Linked DNA regions of Tamandua tetradactyla. The protein of the gene in region 2 interacts with the protein of the main gene of each other region in a pairwise test. Links are inferred from orthologs where the notes say so. Each region holds a gene or a part of one and is shown on either strand. Other genes may lie near its edges.

What was found.
Region 1: the proteins of TROAP (region 2) and DYRK1B interact in binary tests that used the Homo sapiens proteins (3 or more experiments, as listed by UniProt). The link is inferred for Tamandua tetradactyla from reciprocal best matches to the Homo sapiens genes TROAP and DYRK1B.

Annotation. Positions count from the first base shown.
Region 1 is NC_135342.1:24,181,692-24,191,773, reverse strand, and holds the start of DYRK1B (dual specificity tyrosine-phosphorylation-regulated kinase 1B), read right to left. Parts: upstream 4,915-10,082; 5' UTR 4,584-4,914; coding exon 4,505-4,583; intron 3,184-4,504; coding exon 3,020-3,183; intron 1,948-3,019; coding exon 1,825-1,947; intron 1,724-1,824; coding exon 1,535-1,723; intron 1,206-1,534; coding exon 1,058-1,205; intron 186-1,057; coding exon 1-185. Other genes in the region: FBL (rRNA 2'-O-methyltransferase fibrillarin), read right to left, coding at 5,824-5,848, 5,978-6,123, 7,007-7,119, 8,290-8,422, 9,384-9,554.
Region 2 is NC_135333.1:110,256,202-110,265,979, reverse strand, and holds the start of TROAP (tastin), read right to left. Parts: upstream 4,049-9,778; 5' UTR 3,703-4,048; intron 3,454-3,702; 5' UTR 3,443-3,453; coding exon 3,299-3,442; intron 3,194-3,298; coding exon 3,001-3,193; intron 2,490-3,000; coding exon 2,332-2,489; intron 2,251-2,331; coding exon 2,113-2,250; intron 1,929-2,112; coding exon 1,846-1,928; intron 1,356-1,845; coding exon 1,303-1,355; intron 865-1,302; coding exon 743-864; intron 1-742. UniProt on the Homo sapiens protein: Could be involved with bystin and trophinin in a cell adhesion molecule complex that mediates an initial attachment of the blastocyst to uterine epithelial cells at the time of the embryo implantation.

The DNA.
Region 1 (10,082 bases), on a different chromosome or scaffold from region 2:
GATGCTGAGCTCGGGCGTGGCCAGGAAGAGCAGTGCCGTGCAGAGCTGCTGCGCCAGCTTCCGGGTCAGGTTCAGCGAGACACCTCGGAAGTGTGTGTTGCGCAGGAGGTCGTACAGGTTGTAGGAGAGCAGCTCGAACACCAGGCACAGATGGTTCCGGAACATGAAGTGTCGCTTCAGGTGCACTGTGTGAGAGGGGACAGAAAAGGGGCCGAAGAGAAGAAACAGGCTTAGAGAGGGCTGGTGTTGCTCGGGTCTGGCAGTCATCAGAGGGAGGCTGGAGGCAGATCGGTGCCCCTGCTTCTCCAGCGTTAGCCAAACTGTAGTGTGACCATGGGTACCATCTGCTAGACAGGAGGTTTTTATATGATATGTTACTGGAGTCACAGTAAGTTAATTCCCTTTGCAAGTCAAGTCACTTGTCAAACCTTCTGATTAAAGCACAGAGAAAGTATCCATTAGGTGTGGAGAAGTCTTTACCATTCGACATGCCCTCCTTTAATTTTATAACATGGTTTTACCCTAAACTATTTATTTTTTGTGGCAAGGGCTACATTATCCATTTACTGGTGAGATGTAAAGCTTCCTCTTTTAAAAATCCACTTGCTCTTTCTAAAAGAACAGTGTTAAGTGAAAGAGAAAGACACCTGGCCCACATGTTAAGAGCAAGGGCTCTGGAGCAGACTGCCTAGTCACATCATAGCTCTGCTGAGTATAAACTCTGTGATCTCACACAAATGCTAGTACCAGTACGCTTAGCTTATTCATCTCCAAAATGTGGGCAATGATTGCCCCTTCCTTCATGGGGTTATAATGAGAAATGAGTTAATTAATGTAAAGTGCTTAGAGCCTGGCTCTTAGTGAACATTAACTCTGGCCATTGTTATCATGTGACCAGGTGAAAAATCATGGGGAGCAGAAGAATCCCTGATGTCAAGCAAACACAGACCAAACCCTGGCCAAAGGACACCAGACCCCTCCTATTTTGGGGGTGACCCATCCCTAGCTAGTTCCCTTTATCCCAGGCATTGATGGCCCTACTGGCCCCAGGTCTCACCGATATAATACTTCATTTCCGTATCATGCTGGTTCATCAGCTCCAGCAGCCGCAACTCAATCTGGGCCTGGTTCAGGAAGGCCTTTTTGTTCTTGATGATCTTGATGGCCACCAACTCCTGAGTCTGATGGTCATAGGCTTTCACCACCTGCCAGGGCAGGGCACATCACAAGGTGGGGGAGGTAGGGGAGAGCCAGGTAACTCTCTTCCTCTTCTCCCTCTGGCCTCCCTCAGCTCAGCAAAGGGGACCCAACCCCAAAAATTGACAGTAATAAAAATACACACTTGAATGCTCACCATGACTGAGGCAGTGGTGGAAACACCTGTCAACTACCTTATGTGGGGAGTCCTGTTATTTGTACTATTTTACAGAAAAGGAACCTGAGGTATAGCAAACTAAGTGACTGGGTGAGGGGGTCAATGTCAGTGGGTTCCCATGCCTCCCAATCCCTGGCTTCAGGGTTGGTTGTCCCGCACCTGGCCAAAAGAGCCCTTGCCAATGAGTGAGTCAATCTCGTAGCGTTCCAGCCAGCGCTCGCCACTGCGCACTATGTAGTCGTGGTTGTCGTCATCGTAACCGTGGTTCAAGACCTTCTTCTCCTTCTTGGTGCTCGAGTCCTGGGGCGGCGCCTGCTGGGCCCGCCGCTTCTTCTTCGCATAGTATACCTATCCAGTTGGCCAAGCAGGAGGTGAGGACCAGTGAGCGACCCATGCCTGCAGTGAGAACCCCCCAGACCCCAGCCCAGGTTGCCCCGGCCCCTGCCTACCTCATTGATGTGCTTGTAGGTCTTGATGAGGTCCACAGAGAGTTTGCGCAGTGGGGCTGAGGTCGCATCCCGGAAGGCCAGGGGCAGCCTCCGCGGCAGTAGCCGCACATCAGGCAATACCTGCTGGGCAGGGCGGGGGTGCCTCACTGAGGACAGGCAAGACCCATCATGTCTGACCTCAAGGGGGAGAATCATATGGACATCTGGCTCATTATTACCCCACGCAATCACCTATTTATATGGTCATTCTGTCTACCCAATTAGAAATGAACTCTACAAGGTCTGTCTTGTTCTTACTATGTCTCCAGGGCCTTGAGCAGGGTCTAGTATGTAGCGGATGTTCAACAGAAGCAATGGGTGTTGACTAAATAAGGGAACTCTTTCCCCCTGGGCCTTTAGCCAGCATTCTGACCCACACCTTCACTCCTTTCTGAACTTCAGTGGGAGAGATCATAGGGGAAACCTTCCTAACCTTTTAGCAGGAGAGACAGCCCTGCCCTAGCCCCCACTCCATTCTGGGTGTCCCACCTCTATGCACCCCCATCTCACTTTACCCTTATCCCTTAGGGTGTTGCTTCTCACCTCGCTCCCCCCTCCCTTGCCCCAAGCATCTTTGCCCTGTTCTTTCATTTGAAAGGTCTTGAGAACCTGGATCCTATACCCTGGACCTCCCATTCCATCCTGTTTCAAGATCTACATGTTAGAACCTCCACCATCTCTACCATTGGAGTGCTTTACCCTATACCACTCAGGCCCTGTTGGTCCCAAGACCCTTAGGTCTCAACCCTCCTCTCCATCCACTCCCTCCAGATCCTTCACTCTAACGTTTTCTTAGTAAGCATTATTAGGTGTTTCCTAGGTACCAGGCACTATTCTCGGCATTTTACATGCATTTCATTAACTTCTTTAATCCTCACAACAACTCTGTGAGGTAGGTTTTGATATTGGCTCCATTTCACAGATAAGAAAACGGAAGCATAGAGAACTTAGTAATTTAATCACCATGCCAGGATTTGAACCCAGGCTCTCCAAACCCTGACTGCCAGCACCTTTTCTGTTATCTTCTACAACTCAGGGGCCCTTCACACCCCTGGATACTGTCTGGGGCAGCCACATTCCATCTCTTGGCCCTGAAACCCTTCTATTCCCAGCCTCCCTTGACCCCAGGCAGATGAGGAGCTGGGTGAACGCATACCTGCGTGTGCTCCTGGGGCCCTGGAAAGCCAGAGAAGGGACCATGGCCTGGTGGGACGGCCATGGTGGGCTCAGAGGGCCACAAGGGAGTGAGGCCTGGAGCGGGAGCCCGGCCGGGGGGCGCCTTCTCGCATCCTGCACCTCGGCTGCCACCGCCGCTGAGACCTGAGAGCAGGCAGGGAGGCGGGGGAACAACATGGAACAGGGGGATATGTGGGACAGTGCCAAGCAGGGAACAAATGGATATGACAGAGAAAGCAGGGGCACAGAAGGAGGTGGAAAAGGGTGCAACAGGTGGCAATAAAAAGAGGGAAGAGAAGTGGCAAGCCAGGTGGGGGGGCAAAGCAAAGTACCTCGACAAATGATCATTAAAAAAATGAATGAGGCGGAATAAAGACAGGGATGCATGAAAGGGGATGAAGAAAGAGGCAGGCAAGAGCAGGGGATTTGGGTCATGACAGGAAAGGAGGACAGAAAGACACCAATAATTGGAGGGAGGAAAGAGAAGAAAATGATAGAAACCACAGGCAGCATGGGAAGTAGGGTTCATTCTTTTCTTCCCATTTCTACTCGTGGCTCTCCCCAGGACCCCTCACCTAAGATCCCACCCTCCTGCAGTCTTCCTGAACATCAGGATCTCATCCTCTATCACCAAGACCCCTCTACTTCAAGGCCTACCCTTCCCAACACATCCCCAAATGCAGAGAACCCTAGAAACAAGAGCTCTCTGGAACCTCCCCCAAGCCATAGCAGGGTCTTCTATAGGACCCCTAAACCACATCAGGTTCCTCTGAGGACCACCCAGCCACCCCAAGATTATCTGAGATCCCCTACAGACCAGAGTCCTATTCTATGGCAACCTCATTAACCAGGGCACACCCTTCCTACGGGACCCGCCTCCCACTGTTCTCCCAATTTATCATGCCAGGATTTCTTCCCTTTATCGGGTCCTCCTTCCTCAGAGACCACCCTCTAGGTAGTCTCCCAACCAAAGCCCCATTCCCCCATGCCATATCTGCAGTATTTCTCATGGTACTCCAATGTTCCCCTTCCAAAGCCCATTTCTGATGGAACCAAGGGGGGGGGAGCCTCTTCCCATGGCTTACAGTGATCTTCCTTCTTATTTCCTCTACATTGGATCCTACGTCCACTACCCAACATTTCCCCCACAGCTCCCCTTTATCAGGGTCACTACACAGCCGCGCCCATTCTTAGGAGGCCCACATAGCCAAATTCCTCAAATATCACATAGGGTTCTCTCTCTCAGAACACTGAACCACACTAAAGTCCCTCTCCCAAGGGCTTCCACCCGCACCCACACAACCCCCCTATGTCAGATTCTTTGCTCCTAAGCAAGGTTTTGCCACTCCAGGCCCCACCACTCTTGGAGTTCCACTCCCTGGAAGATCGCCCCTCACCCCCAAAACAACCTATAACCCAGGGCCCTCCCACAACAGGACCGTCTCTCTCAGCCCCCACCCCATACCCGGGTCAGGGCTGGCGCGGAGCCCACTGGGGGCTGGGGCGCGGTGGGGCCCCCAGTGGGGCGGGTGAGCGGCCAGCATGGCGGCAGTGGCGGCAGCGAGGAGGCGGCCGTCTGTCCCCAGCCCGGCCGGCCCGGCAAGCCCCGCGGCGGGGAGGGCAAGCGGGACAGACGGCCCGGTGGGTGAAAACAGCAGCCACCGCCACCGCCACCGCCGGGGGCGGGGAGAGCAGGGAACGAGGGTCAACCCGGGGCACGCGGGGGAAGGGCAAGCAGGTGGACGGGGGAGGGGCGAGCTAACTCTCGCACCACTGGCCCCCCGCCTCTGGGGACCCAGGCGTCCCGCCCCCCACCCTGGAGGCCCGCCCCGGCCTGCGGAGAACCGGCGGGCGGGGCCCGACTGAGCTTGGCAGTCCGCACCCTGCCATGGCAACAACCGTGCAATTGGTCGTCGCTGCCAAGAACTCGGCCAATCATAGTCCAAGATGGCTGTTGCTAGGCAACGACGATGCGGCCGGCGGAGCCAAGCCCAAACAAAGGGCGGGAGCCAGGCCTGGCTACCCCCTCCCAACTTTCCTCCCAAGATCGCTCCCTCGGGCTTGGCCCCTTCCAGGAATCCGACTATGAATAGCCAGGCTGGGCCTGCACCTGCCCGCCCTCCTCACCCCCATGCCGGGGCCTTGTGCTCATTCTCGCTGCGACGCGGCCAGGGCGAATTCCGCCCTCCCCTCCACTCCCTGCGAGCGCATGCCACCCCACTCATCTTCGTTTCGTTACCTGAGAGCGCAGGCAAGGGGACTCAAACTGCTCGGGAGGCCCGAGCTCTGACCTGCCCACGGGCGGAAGGTATCCGGCGGACGCAGCAAGCCAGAGCCACGATTACCCAGTAATGCAACCAGCAAAATGGCGACCACAACAAACCAACCCCTCCACCCCGCCCCAGACTCCGCCCTCGCCCCGGACTCCGCCCTCACCCCGCCTCCCCACCCCCGCCCCTTCACGTGACCCAAGGAAGCAATCCGCGCCTGCGTTTAGTGGGCACTACTACCAATCATGCGCAGCGAGTCACTAACCCCGCCTAGGCGCCGAAAACCGGATTACGGCTGCGCAGGAGACCGCTGAAAACAGAGCATGCGCCATGTAACAAGATGAGACTTTCCACCCCCACTCAAGAGCACCAAGGGCGCATGCGCCAGGTGGACAACAGCGGTGGCAGAGCAATCAGCTGCAGACAACGGTGACAGAAGAGTCTTTTAATAGAAAAACACACGTGCAACAGCAACCACACAATCTCTCGCAATCCTGACAGCGGTGAACTTCACTCAGTTCTTCACTTTAGGAGGTGGCCTGTGAGAGGAAGAGAGGAGATGAGGGGAATCTCCAAGACCATGGGCATTCCCAACAAGAACTGACCCACACAGCTCTGAGTTTAAGGGACAGACATCTATCCTGGTAGATTACTGGCTGCCTGCTCACCTGTACACACCCACAACCACAGCATGGTCTCTTTCGTAAGGCTCTAAGGTCAACTGCTCTTGGGGCTTCATGTTCTCCTGTTGCATCTTTTTCACTTCAGAGGCAAATACGGCCTCGGCGGAGGCTGTAGAGTCAATGCAGTTGGCCTATAGAAGGAGAGATTTTAAGTCCGCAGCAAGGCTTTGACTTCTGGTTTCCCTTTTTTTGTGCTCTTTAAACCAGAAGTATTTGTTTTCTTTGGAAAGTAAGTGACCCTCAGGCTGAAGAGGCCAACAACAATCATTACTGTCTCTTCTATGGCAGGGTTTCAGAAATGTGGGGAAATGCTTCATTAAAAAAGCTTTCAGTTTCGTTTGGATTTGAACTAGGAAGCTTTAATCACAGCCCCTAAATTTTACATATAAAACAGAGTTTGTCTGTTTTTTCTTCTTCCTCTTTTTCTTTACTAAATTGTAATAGTAATAAGCCAGCTAAGAATAACAAAGCAAATGTAGCAAAAGGCTGGCAAATAGTCAATCTGGGTGAAGAGCATACAGGACTAAGTTCTCTGTATTTCAAAGTTTAAAAAATGCATCTAATATTTATCTTATATTTAATTTTATGCCAGAATGTTCTGAACACTTCACATATGTTAATTCTTCACGTATACCCTAGAGATAGAACTAATATTTCCATTCTACAAATGAAGAAACTGAGGTACACAGAGGTTAAGTAACTTGCTCAAACTCACAGAGCAAACTGGGATTTAAGATTCAGTCAGGATCAGTGACCATGCATTTGACCACCACATATTAATCTCTAAATCCAAAGCTTTTAGTTTTGCTGACATTTTGGTATCACGTGTTATATGAATGGAGTTGGAGAACAAATGGTAGGGGGCTGGAGTAGGGACAGAGGCTGGGAGTAGACTGACTGGAGTAAGGAAGATGGTGACCCCCTTGTTTCACCTGGCTGGCTGTCACACCCTGACAGAGAAGAAGCCATCCTGGGACAGTCCCATCCCATCTTACACACCATCAAGTCCCCCACCTTAATGGAAATCACAAAGTGTCCTCCATTACGCAAGAAAGTGTGGGCATTCAGGGCCACGATCCGGGTCTGGTCTGGCTGGGCAACGTCAGCAAAGATCACATCCACCATTGCTAGGGAGAGAGGGGTGGCGTTTAGAAGTCGAGCCCACCAGAGATCTTCCCAGCTCCCCCCCTTGGGCTTGTGCCCCATCATGAGCAGATGCTTGGCAGTTTCCCTGCCTCCAATCCAACTTCCCCCACTGATCCCCCATTCCTCCACAGCATCCCCAACATGGTTGCCACCTACTCTGTGGCCAGCCCTGGTGACACAGAGACAAGTCAAACCCGGACCCTGCCCTCAAGATGCTCCCAGGCCTGGCGGGGGAGACAACCAGGTCATCAAAAAGGCAACTAAAGGTGAGCACTAATAGGCAAGAACGTCTTCGGGGTTGTCAAATGAAAACAAGTCGCAGGACAAATATATATGAGAATACGGGAAAAAAACTCAGAAAGAAAAACAAGTGGAATGACAAAGTAATGTTTAAAGCCAGTGTGAGTAAGGAGTGGGGGTAGGGGAGGAAGGAAACTTTAACAATTGAAAAGATGGTGTAGGGCGGTACAACAGTGGATCAGCAGGCAGAGTTTTCGCCTGCCATGCCAGAGAACCAGGTTTGATTCCCGGTGTCTGCTCATGCGGGGCGGGCATGGGGTGGTATGATGAAAACTGACTTTTTAAAATTCACAACAAGTAGCCATCAAATTGTTTACGTCAATTACCTCTGGGGATGTTTAAAAGGCTTTCCATTTTTACATCATGCTTTTGATTTTTTACAAAACAAAATCATATGTTACATTTCCAATTAGAGAACAAAAAAAAATACAGGCATTAAAATATCTACAATGGCCCCCTGAGGGTCAGAGCCAGCTCAGTTTGTGCCTCCTGGGCTAGGATCATCAGATAATGAACAGCATCTTGGAGGGGGTTCTACACACAAGTCAGGAGCAGTGTAGAAAGTACTGTGTTTTGGGGGGGAGGCTAGAAGCACAGGGGTCTAAGGAAAGATTTCAAAAGAGAGGAGGCTGGCTCTTCAAGGGTGCCAGACACCTGAGACCATGGAATGGGGCCCCCACCTCCATAATCTCAACTGATTCCCCCATCCCTTCTCACTCCTACAGACTCTGAGGGACTGCTCATTCATTCCAATTCAGTCCGATTCAGGGCTTAGATAGGCTCTTCCAGGAAACCTGTTTCTAGGAGTGGCCTATCCCACCCTACCTGGGCCGACGCCCAGGGCCCCTCACCAATGAGCATGCGGTATTTGTGTGGGTGCCGAGCATCTTCAATGACAGGAATTATATTGGTCCTCTTCTTGGCCAGGTTAATGAGGTCACGGCCAGAACGGTGGGAGAACTCAACTGCATAGACCAGACCATCCTAAAACAAGGCAAGTAATAACAGTGATGGTATCAGTGCTCATATGGAGCCACTACTTACTAATGGGCCTACGCTCTGCATGCAGCATTTCTTCCAACCTCCAAATCAAAATCCTATCATTTAACAGCCATTGTTATCAAGTCTACTTCATAGATTAATAAACTGAGGTCCTGGGATGTGAAATTATCAACCAAGGATTATTCAGCAAGCAAGTGAGCCTTCCAAACACCAAGTTACCTAATCTGAGAGCCCAGGCTCTCAATAAAGGCTTAAAAACAGGAAGCCAAGGCACAGAATGATGAAGCACAACAGCTAACAAGCATTTGCCACATGCCAGGTACTGTTCAGAAACACTGTGTAGAAATTAACTTGTCTAATTTTCACAAGTCTGTTTTCCAGGGGGTAAAGTGAGCCCCGGAGAGATAAATAATCTGTCCAAAACGACATCACTGTTAAATGGCTAAGCTGGGATTTGAATCCAAAGAGCCTGGCATCAGAGCCTAGGGTCTGTAACTACTAAATTACACAGCCAGCAATCACATAAACGAGAAAGGGGTCACAAAGGGAGATGTACAGCCTCCCTCTACAGATGGTATAAATTGAAATGCAGGCCCAGAAACTCTGAGATCTCCTGTTCTTTCAAGATAAACCAGAAGCCTGGATTTTGGGGACATGAATTTTTAACAAGGGCAACCAATTCAAATAGTCTGATACCGATACTCCTAGCTCTGGGCCCCTCTAATGCCTATGCCCCTTTCCCTCAGGTCCAGAAACCCAGAAGCGAGCTTTGGAGGGGCCTCCTATCCCCTTCTAGAAGGCAGAGCCCGGTTCTGTGCCACAGTGAATGGAAGCAGACAGGACTCTGACTCGAGGCTGGCAAAGGAAGGCATCTTTTCTTTCCCACTCACCTCACCACCACTCTTACATTTTGTCACAGATTCTCACCCCCACCCCCACTCACCGGTCCTACAATGTCAGAGACGTGGGAGACAGTGGTCCCCGAAGCAGCCCCAAGGTAGAGCACCTTGGCCCCCGGCCTAATGTGGATCTGGTCTACGCCGCCCAGGATTGCTGCTGCCAGTTTTGAGCGGAAGGGGTTCCATGCACGGTACTCAATTTTGTCATCTCCTTCCTAGGCCGGGAGAGATGGGGAAATAAGTGCTGGGCTCTTCTCCAACAGCCCATATCCCTTACCCTAGGGCCCTCGAAAAGAACTGGGCATTTTGTTGTTGTACAAGAAATGAATTGTGGACGAAGAGCATGAACCAGGACAGATGCAGTCCTGCCTGACTGGAAGTCACTGACTCAAGGGGAGAAGACAGCAAGAGACAATAAACACAGAGAGACACAGACTGGATCGAGTAACATCAAGTCCTATGCATTCATTCAACAAGCACCTGCTTGTGCCAAACCTTGTGAATAAGAAAAAGACCCCTGCCCCCAAAGAGTACATAACACTATAATTAACTAAATAAAATATGTTATACTAGATGGTGATATGTCAAGAGACAGGTGAAAATGAGAAAAGGTGGCAAGAGACGAGCCGAGAAGGAGCTACCTGAAGTAGATGAGCGCTATCTGGGGAAGAGCATGACAGGCAGAGGAAAAGCAAGCAAGAAGGCCCTGAGGCAAGAGTGTACCTGCCCATAAAGAAAATAAC
Region 2 (9,778 bases):
TCAGTTATCACTCTAGCCTCATGTCCTACCAGTATTTTTACTCTAAGTATCGCTGGCCTCTCCTTTTCTGAGCTGAAAAAACACTAGGTATATTCACTGCTCAGAGTCTCTGCATATGCAATTCTTGGTCTGAAACTCTTCTCCCAGAGATTGTCATGATTCATTCCCTCAATTCCTTTGGCCTTCACTTAAATGCTGTCTTTTCAATGAGATTCCCCTGACCAATCTTTTGCAATTTAAAATTGCAATACCAACTCTCCACTCTCAATTCCCCTTTAGTATCTTATTTATGTAGTTTTTACAGAGAACTTAATACAATCTGACGTGCTATATATTTTATATATTTGTTTTTGTTTGTCTCTTCCTTCCAGAATGTGAATATTTTTATGCCCAGAGCCTAGAACAGTACACACAGTAGATGCTCAATAAATATTTGTGGAGTGAATGGACGAATGCTTTTGACAGACAAGCATCAGTTTTGTCTTGCTCTCAGCATTGATCTGATGATGATGCAAACATATACCAGTGTGTGACCTCTCAGCTGAGTCCCAGACACCTTGTAAAGAGAAGTCAGTTGCATTCTGGAGATGGCCTGGGCCCATCTGGGGTAAACTCAGCCCTAATAATAATGTTCCTGAGGGCCAGTACTGCTGACTCAACCCATAATCCTCAGTGCCAGCTCCTGCTGGGGAGTTCCCCCAAGCACCTCCCACCTCCCCTCCACAGGAGGGTCCCATCTTACCTTGGTGCTTGTTATCCCACCGATTTCTCTTAATGGTACCCGCTGGGCCAGACCGAGGGGGCCCCCTCCTCCTTCATCTGAGTGAGTCACAATCTCACGTTTACCTTCAGGAAGAGAGGAATCTAAGAAGAGACAGGAAATTTGTTGAAGTTTCTGGAACACTCACAAAATTCTGAAATGGGCCTTGCAACCTCTGAAGAGGGGTATGCCAGTTTGACAGCCTCTGCTGCACCATCAGGAACAGGAATTCATCCCAGCAAGCTCTATCCTAAGCCCTGTACTATCTCACTAAATACCTATGAATCTGAACACCATGAGTAGACTGCAGATGTGGTGATGGTTCTTAGGGGCTGGGAATAGAACAGTGAGTGGAAGGTAAATCTTTCAGGGAGAGGGTAGAAATGGGGACCACCTCCCGTTTGAGACATGTGCAACTGGTTACCAACCTCTGTTTTAGGCCCACTTCACCCCACCAGGCCTTCTGAGCTTTCTCTTGTCTTATTCCCTGCTGCAGACTAAGCTCCTGCCCCTGTTCTCTCCCCAGGGCCAGACACACTTACTAGGCTGGGCTGCGTTCTTCAGGGGCAATCCTGAGGCCTGGTTCACTGAAGTTCTGATGACAAATAACAGCAGTGAGCAGTCACTGAGTACCAAGTATGAGCTAAGTGCTTTATAAACATCATCTCATTTAATTCTCACGATAACCTCTAATGATAGTACAAACATTATCCTCATTTGACAGATAAAGAAGCTACGAGAGTTTAAATAAGTTCACACAACTAAGTGGCAAGTCAGGAATCAAACTCAAATCCCATTTATTGCTATTAGTCTGTGCTCTAACCACTACACACAAGCAATAACACCTCTCATTCTTGTCCCTCCCCTTTGGCTCATGATCTGAGGAGACTGATGCCACACTGAGGCCTGGCTATGAAGGTCTGAACTCTGTTCCAAGGACTCACCTCTAGGAAGGTTACCCCTTCCCCTCCTGGGTTGGTAGGAAGTCCTAAAGCTACAGGAGGCCCCAGGTCTGGGGGAACCCTGCATAAGACACTGGGTCAATCTTTTCCAAATGATACTTTCCCACACCCTCTTCTTCTCACCGGCTCCTGCCACCTGTCTCTCTTCTTAACTCCTGGAAACTGGGGCGAGTAGAGGGGTGAAAGGAAGGTCCTGAAGGTGGAATCTGATCCAGAGAAGCAAGAAATGAGAGCAGAGTCACAGCGTGGACCCCAAATCTTCTCCAACCCCATCTTCCCCACAGAACCCTCTGCGGCTCCTCATGAGGTACTATTTGTCCCAGGGCCCAGCCTGTCCTGTAAGCAGATGCTCCCTGAAGCACTGACAGCCAGCCCCTCAAGGGCACTCACCAGAGCCTCTAGCCTCTGGGGACCCAAGGTCTGGCCACGGGGTCCTGGTCCCTCCAGCCTCGAGAAGCAGGAAGCCCTGGCAGGATCCAGACGGTGGACGGGAGTTCTGGGGGCTGAATAAGCTGAGGCCCGGGCACCCTGGGACCCCAACAGAGGCTATCAGCACAGGTTCAGGATCCCCTCCCCATCCCATGCAGTCTGATTACTTTACATCATTACCTGGCCCCTCCGGATGGTGCTTCCTTGGCTCTCTCGAACCAATACTCTCTGAGCCAGACTGAGTTGACGCCCCAGGCAACAGCTCTTTACCCCCTCACCTGACAGGATGGTGGCCAGGGCTGCAGGATCAGCCACAAATTCTGTGGCCCCTGGAGCCTCTGCAAGAAAAGAGGAGAAGGTGAGAAATAATAGGAAGGGTGACGACTAAGGGATCAGGGGCCCTGGTGTAGTCACCTTGTGGTGCAAGGGTGAAAAAAGAAACTCTCATTCAATTGAACTCAGCTCATCAAATGTTCACAGAACTCTACTGTTCTCTAAGTAAGACACTATTCTGGGCATTGGGACCCGGAGATGATTAAGACAAAGCCTGTATCCTCAAGAAGCTATCATCAAACTATAGAGAATAGACTCAAATTTAAAAAAAGACATATCATATAAATGAAGAATTAAGCATCTGATTGTGACTGAGGGAGCAGGAAAAGGTTTCAAAAGAGATGACATTTTGCTGAAGGAAGAGTAGGGAGGGTGGGGCTTCTAATAACAAAGAGCTTCCCAGGAGCAGGGACCAGGGAACCCACAGGCAAGTACAAAGCCCTGAAACCCCACTGTGTCCGTCACACTCCCCCACCCAACCAAAGACGCTGTAGTCTCCAGGCCTCCAACAGGTACCTGTCTGGGGAAGAGGACCAGGTCTCACATTCGGACCCCCAGGACTACTCCTGAGCTCCTTCAGGGGGTTCCGGAGCTGAGTGCTCCCCATCAATCTCTCTGATTTCTCGGTTTGGTGCATGGCTTTCGGCCTGGAGCCTGCTAGGCCAACAAGGGGTCCTTTAATACTAAGCGGTGGATTCTGCACTGATTCCTGGGAGGAAAAGACAACAAAAAGCTGGGACGCTGCGTTGGGCTGCATTACTGGTGTATGCAGCCTCCTTGTAACTGCTACCTTTATCCACTAAGCCCCTCTTACGCTTGGATCTTGGTTCTCCTGGTCCAGGGCGGAGAGTTTGTCCCTGGGGAGAGGTAGGCGTCTCTGAGTAAGTACGGGAATCTTGCTAGGGGTGGGGGATACACCCCGGAGGAGCGGATCCTTCGTGGCTTGGAGTGAGGTCATGATGGCTACAACTGAGACGGGGAAGGAAGCAGAACCGGAAAGCAAAGGTCAGCCATTTCGGGACACTGGTTCTTCCAATCCTGAGGCTCTTACCTATGCCTAAACTGAAGAGCCCCGAACCCCCCGGCTCCTGCAAGGCCTTACTTTGGATGCCACCTCCAGACACTCCGAGTCTATTCTTTCGCCCCAGCACCCCAAGCTGCTTCTCCTCCCCGTGAGCTCCCGTACCCCTCATTCCCTCCAAGATTCTCGTGTCTCACCTTCTCCGGAACCCCTTAGGGCCACCCTCACTTTCTTCGCTTTTTCTTGGACTCTATGCGTCCCCAGAAGCTGCTTTCACAGTTTGTAAAATACTTCAAGCTCCTGATTGGCTCGTCCGCGCTCCCGCGGGGCGCACGACAGCTGACACAGCCGTCCAATCCACAGGCTCCGGGGGCGGGGCCAAAGAGGGACGGGATGTCTAACCTCCTTCTGGCCAGGAAAAAACTGATCCAGTCCAGTCAGCCAATCCGTGAGCGGAGCGCAGGGTAAAAGGAGGGGAAAAAAGGAAGGAAGACGCCGTTTTGAGGACAGAGAAGGTGACGACAGCTAGGGCTGGATGATAACTATGCAATCTTAATCTCGCGAGATCTCGGGACTGATGAGGGACGGCCCCTTGGCGAGAAAAAGCAGTAGCATTGTGGGAAGGGTTGGTCCTCCTAATAGCGGTTTAAGGTATTGGAGGCTGTTCCCAGCTCCTGAGTGAACTCTGGTCACTTTCGCAGCGCCTCGCATCGGCGAAGCCATTCCAGTCACTAATAGGAAGCATCTGCACGTTTGTTCCCAGGACAAGGAACTGCGTCCCAACGAAGCGAGAGGACCGAAGGGAATTTAACTGAGTCTGAAAGAACTGAGCTGAGCCTGATAATAACGGATAAAACAACCGTTTTCTCACTCGACCCTCACAACCCCATGAAATGTGGTCTCCATTTCAAAAATAGGAAACAAGACTCAGGTAGTGACATTGGAATTCAGTTGATACAACTTTAGAATTGAGTAGCTGCTTAGCTGAGGATTTCCCCACTTCCAGGCTGCCTCTCTTTTTTTTTTTTAATTTTTTTTTATTAATTAAAGAAAAAAAAGAAATTAACACAACATTTAGATATCATTCCATTCTACATATGCAATCAGTAATTCTTAACATCATCACATAGATGCATGATCATCATTTCTTAGTACATTTGCATCGAATTAGGAAAAGAACTAGCAAAAAAACAGAAAAAGATATAGAATGTTAATATAGAGAAAAAAATAAAAATAATAATAATAGTAAAAAAAAGGCACAAACAAACAGACAAACAAAAAACCCTATAGCTCAGATGCAGCTTCATTCAGTGTTTTAACATGATTACTTTACATTTAGGTATTATTGTGCTGTCCATTTTTGAGTTTTTATATCTAGTCCTGTTGCACAGTCTATATCCCTTCAGCTCCAATTACCCATTATCTTACCCTGTTTCTAACTCCTGCTGGTCTCTGTTACCAATGACATATTCCAAGTTTATTCTCGAATGTCGGTTCACATCAGTGGGACCATACAGTATTTGTCCTTTAGTTTTTGGCTAGACTCACTCAGCATAATGTTCTCTAGGTCCATCCATGTTACTACATGCTTCATAAGTTTATTCTGTCTTAAAGCTGCATAATATTCCATCGTATGTATATACCACAGTTTGTTTAGCCACTCTTCTGTTGATGGACATTTTGGCTGTTTCCATCTCTTTGCAATTGTAAATAACGCTGCTATAAACATTGGTGTGCAAATGTCCGTTTGTGTCTTTGCCCGTAAGTCCTTTGAGTAGATACCCAGCAATGGTATTGCTGGGTCGTATGGCAATTCTATATTCAGTTTTGTGAGGAACCGCCAAACTGCCTTCCACAGTGGTTGCACCAATTGACATTCCCACCAACAGTGGATAAGTGTGCCTCTTTCTCCGCATCCTCTCCAGCACTTGTCATTTTCTGTTTTGTTGATAATGGCCATTCTGGTGGGTGTGAGATGATATCTCATTGTGGTTTTGATTTGCATTTCTCTAATGGCCAGGGACATTGAGCATCTCTTCATGTGCCTTTTGGCCATTTGTATTTCCTCTTCTGAGAGGTGTCTGTTCAAGTCTTTTTCCCATTTTGTAATTGGGTTGGCTGTCTTTTTGTTGTTGAGTTGGACAATCTCTTTATAAATTCTGGATACTAGACCTTTATCTGATATGTCATTTCCAAATATTGTCTCCCATTGTGTAGGCTGTCTTTCTACTTTCTTGATGAAGTTCTTTGATGCACAAAAGTGTTTAATTTTGAGGAGCTCCCATTTATTTATTTCCTTCTTCAGTGCTCTTGATTTATGTTTAAGGTCCATAAAACCGCCTCCAATTGTAAGTTTCATAAGATATCTCCCTACATTTTCCTCTAACTGTTTTATGGTCTTAGACCTAATGTTTAGATCTTTGATCCATTTTGAGTTAACTTTTGTATAGGGTGTGAGATACGGGTCTTCTTTCATTCTTTTGCATATGGATATCCAGTTCTCTAGGCCCCATTTATTGAAGAGACTGTTCTGTCCCAGGTGAGTTGACTTGACTGCCTTATCAAAGATCAAATGTCCATAGATGAGAGGGTCTATATCTGAACACTCTATTCGATTCCATTGGTCGATATATCTATCTTTATGCCAATATCATGCTGTTTTGACCACTGTGGCTTCATAATATGCCTTAAAGTCTGTCAGCGTGAGACCTCCAGCTTCGTTTTTTTCCTCAAGATACTTTTAGCAATTCGGGGCACCCTGCCCTTCCAGATAAATTTGCTTATTGGTTTTTCTATTTCTGAAAAATAAGTTGTTGGGATTTTGATTGGTATTGCATTGAATCTGTAAATCAATTTAGGTAGGATTGACATCTTAACTATATTTAGTCTTCCAATCCATGAGCACGGTATGCCCTTCCATCTATTTAGGTCTTCTGTGATTTCTTTTAACAGTTTTTTGTAGTTTTATTTGTATAGGTTTTTTGTCTCTTTAGTTTAATTTATTCCTAGGTATTTTATTCTTTTAGTTGCGATTGTAAATGGGATTTGTTTCTTGATTTCCCCCTCAGCTTGTTCATTACTAGTGTATAGAAATGCTACAGATTTTTGAATGTTGATCTTGTAACCTGCTACTTTGCTGTACTCATTTATTAGCTCTAGTAGTTTTGTTGTGGATTTTTCTGGGTTTTCGACGTATAGTATCATATCGTCTGCAAACAGTGATAATTTTACTTCTTCCTTTCCAATTTTGATGCCTTGTATTTCTTTTTCTTGTCTAATTGCTCTGGCTAGAACCTCCAACACGATGTTGAATGATAGTGGTGATAGTGGACATCCTTGTCTTGTTCCTGATCTTAGGGGGAAAGTTTTCAATTTTTCCCCGTTGAGGATGATATTAGCTGTGGGTTTTTCATATATTCCCTCTATCATTTTAAGGAAGTTCCCTTGTATTCCTATCTTTTGAAGTGTTTTCAACAGGAAAGGATGTTGAATCTTGTCAAATGCCTTCTCTGCATCAATTGAGATGATCATGTGATTTTTCTGCTTAGATTTGTTGATGTGGTGTATTACATTAATTGATTTTCTTATGTGGAACCATCCTTGCATACCTGGGATGAATCCTACTTGGTCATGATGTATAATTCTTTTGATATGTTGTTGGATACGATTTGCTAGAATTTTATTGAGGATTTTTGCATCTATATTCATTAGAGAGATTGGTCTGTAGTTTTCTTTTCTTGTAATATCTTTGCCTGGTTTTGGTATGAGGGTGATGTTGGCTTCATAGAATGAATTAGTTAGCTTTCCCTCCACTTCGATTTTTTGAAGAGTTTGAGGAGATTTGGTACTATTTCTTTCTGGAATGTTTGATAGAATTCACATGTGAAGCCGTCTGGTCCTGGACTTTTCTTTTTAGGAAGCTTTTGAATGACTAATTCAATTTCTTTACTTGTGATTGGTTTGTTGAGGCCATCCATTTCTTCTTGAGTCAAAGTTGGTTGTTCATGTCTTTCCAGGAACCCGTCCATTTCATCTAAACTGTTGTATTTATTAGCGTAAAGTTGTTCATAGTATCCTGTTATTACCTCCTTTATTTCTGTGAGGTCAGTGGTTATGTCTCCTCTTCCATTTCTGATCTTATTTATTTGCATCCTCTCTCTTCTTCTTTTTGTCAATCTTGCTAAGGGCCCATCAATCTTATTGATTTTCTCATAGAACCAACTTCTGGTCTTATTGATTTTCTCTATTGTTTTCATGTTTTCAATTTCATTTATTTCTGCTCTAATCTTTGTTATTTCTTTCCTTTTGCTTGCTTTGGGATTAGTTTGCTGTTCTTTCTCCAGTTTTTCCAAGTGGACAGTTAATTCCTGCATTTTTGCCTTTTCTTCTTTTGTGATATAGGCATTTAGGGCAATAAATTTCCCTCTTAGCACTGCCTTTGCTGCGTCCCATAGGTTTTGATATGTTGTGTTTTCATTTTCATTCGCCTCGAGGTATTTACTAATTTCTCTTGCAATTTATTCTTTGACCCACTCGTTGTTAAAGAGTGTGTTGTTGAGCCTCCACGTATTTGTGAATTTTCTGGCACTCCGCCTATTATTGATTTCCAACTTCATTCCTTTATGATCCGAGAAAGTGTTGTGTATGATTTCAATCTTTTTAAATTTGTTAAGACTTGCTTTGTGACCCAGCATATGGTCTATCTTTGAGAATGATCCATGAGCACTTGAGAAAAAGGTGTATCCTGCTGTTGTGGGATGTAATGTCCTATAAATGTCTGTTAAGTCTAGCTCATTTATAGTAATATTCAGATTCTCTATTTCTTTATTGATCCTCTGTCTAGATGTTCTGTCCATTGATGAGAGTGGTGAATTGAAGTCTCCAACTATTATGGTATATGTGTCTATTTCCCTTTTCAGTGTTTGCAGTGTATTCCTCACGTATTTTGGGGCATTCTGGTTCGGTCCGTAAATATTTATGATTGTTATGTCTTCTTGTTTAATTGTTCCTTTTATTAGTAGATAGTGTCCTTCTTTGTCTCTTTTAACTGTTTTACATTTGAAGTCTAATTTGTTGGATATTAGTATAGCCACTCCTGCTCTTTTCTGGTTGTTATTTGCATGAAGTATCTTTACCCAACCTTTCACTTTCAACCTATGTTTATCTTTGGGTCTAAGATGTGTTTCCTGTAGACAGCATATAGAAGGATCCTGTTTTTTAATCCATTCTGCCAGTCTATGTCTTTTGATTGGGGAATTCAGTCCATTAACTTTTAGTGTTATTACTGTTTGGATAATATTTTCCTCTACCATTTTGCCTTTTGTATTATATATATCATATCTGACTTTCCTTCTTTCTACACTCTTCTCCATACCTCTCTCTTCTGTCTTTTCGTATCTGACTCTAGTGCTCCCTTTAGTATTTCTTGCAGAGTTGGTCTCTTGGTCACAAATTCTCTCAGTGACTTTTTGTCTGAGAATGTTTTAATTTCTCCCTCATTTTTGAAGGACAATTTTGCTGGATATAGGAGTCTTGGTTGGCAGTTTTTCTCTTTTAGTAATTTAAATATATCATCCCACTGTCTTCTAACTTCCATGGTTTCTGCTGAGAAATCTACACATAGTCTTCTTGGGTTTCCCTTGTATGTGATGGATTGTTTTTCTCTTGCTGCTTTCAAGATCCTCTCTTTCTCTTTGACCTCTGACATTCTAACTAGCAAGTGTCTTGGAGAACGCCTATTTGGGTCTAATCTCTTTGGGGTGAGCTGCACTTCTTGGATCTGTAATTTTAGGTCTTTCATAAGAGTTGGGAAATTTTCCGTGATAATTTCTTCCATTAGTTTTTCTCCTCCTTTTCCCTTCTCTTCTTCTTCTGGGACACCCACAACACATATATTTGTGCGCTTCATATTGTCATTCAGTTCCCTGATCCCTTGTTCAAATTTTTCCATTCTTTTCCCTATAGTTTCTGTTTCTTTTTGGAATTCAGATGTTCCATCCTCCAATTCACTAATTCTATCTTCTGTCTCTTTAAATCTACCATTGTAGGTATCCATTGTTTTTCCATCTTTTCTACTTTGTCCTTCACTCCCATAAGTTCTGTGATTTACTTTTTTCAGTTTTTCTATTTCTTCTTTTTGTTCAGCCCATGTCTTCTTCATGTCCTCCCTCAATTTATCGATTTGGTTTTTGAAGAGGTTTTCCATTTCTGTTTGTATATTCAGCATTAGTTGTCTCAGCTCCTGTATCTCATTTGAACTGTTGGTTTGTTCCT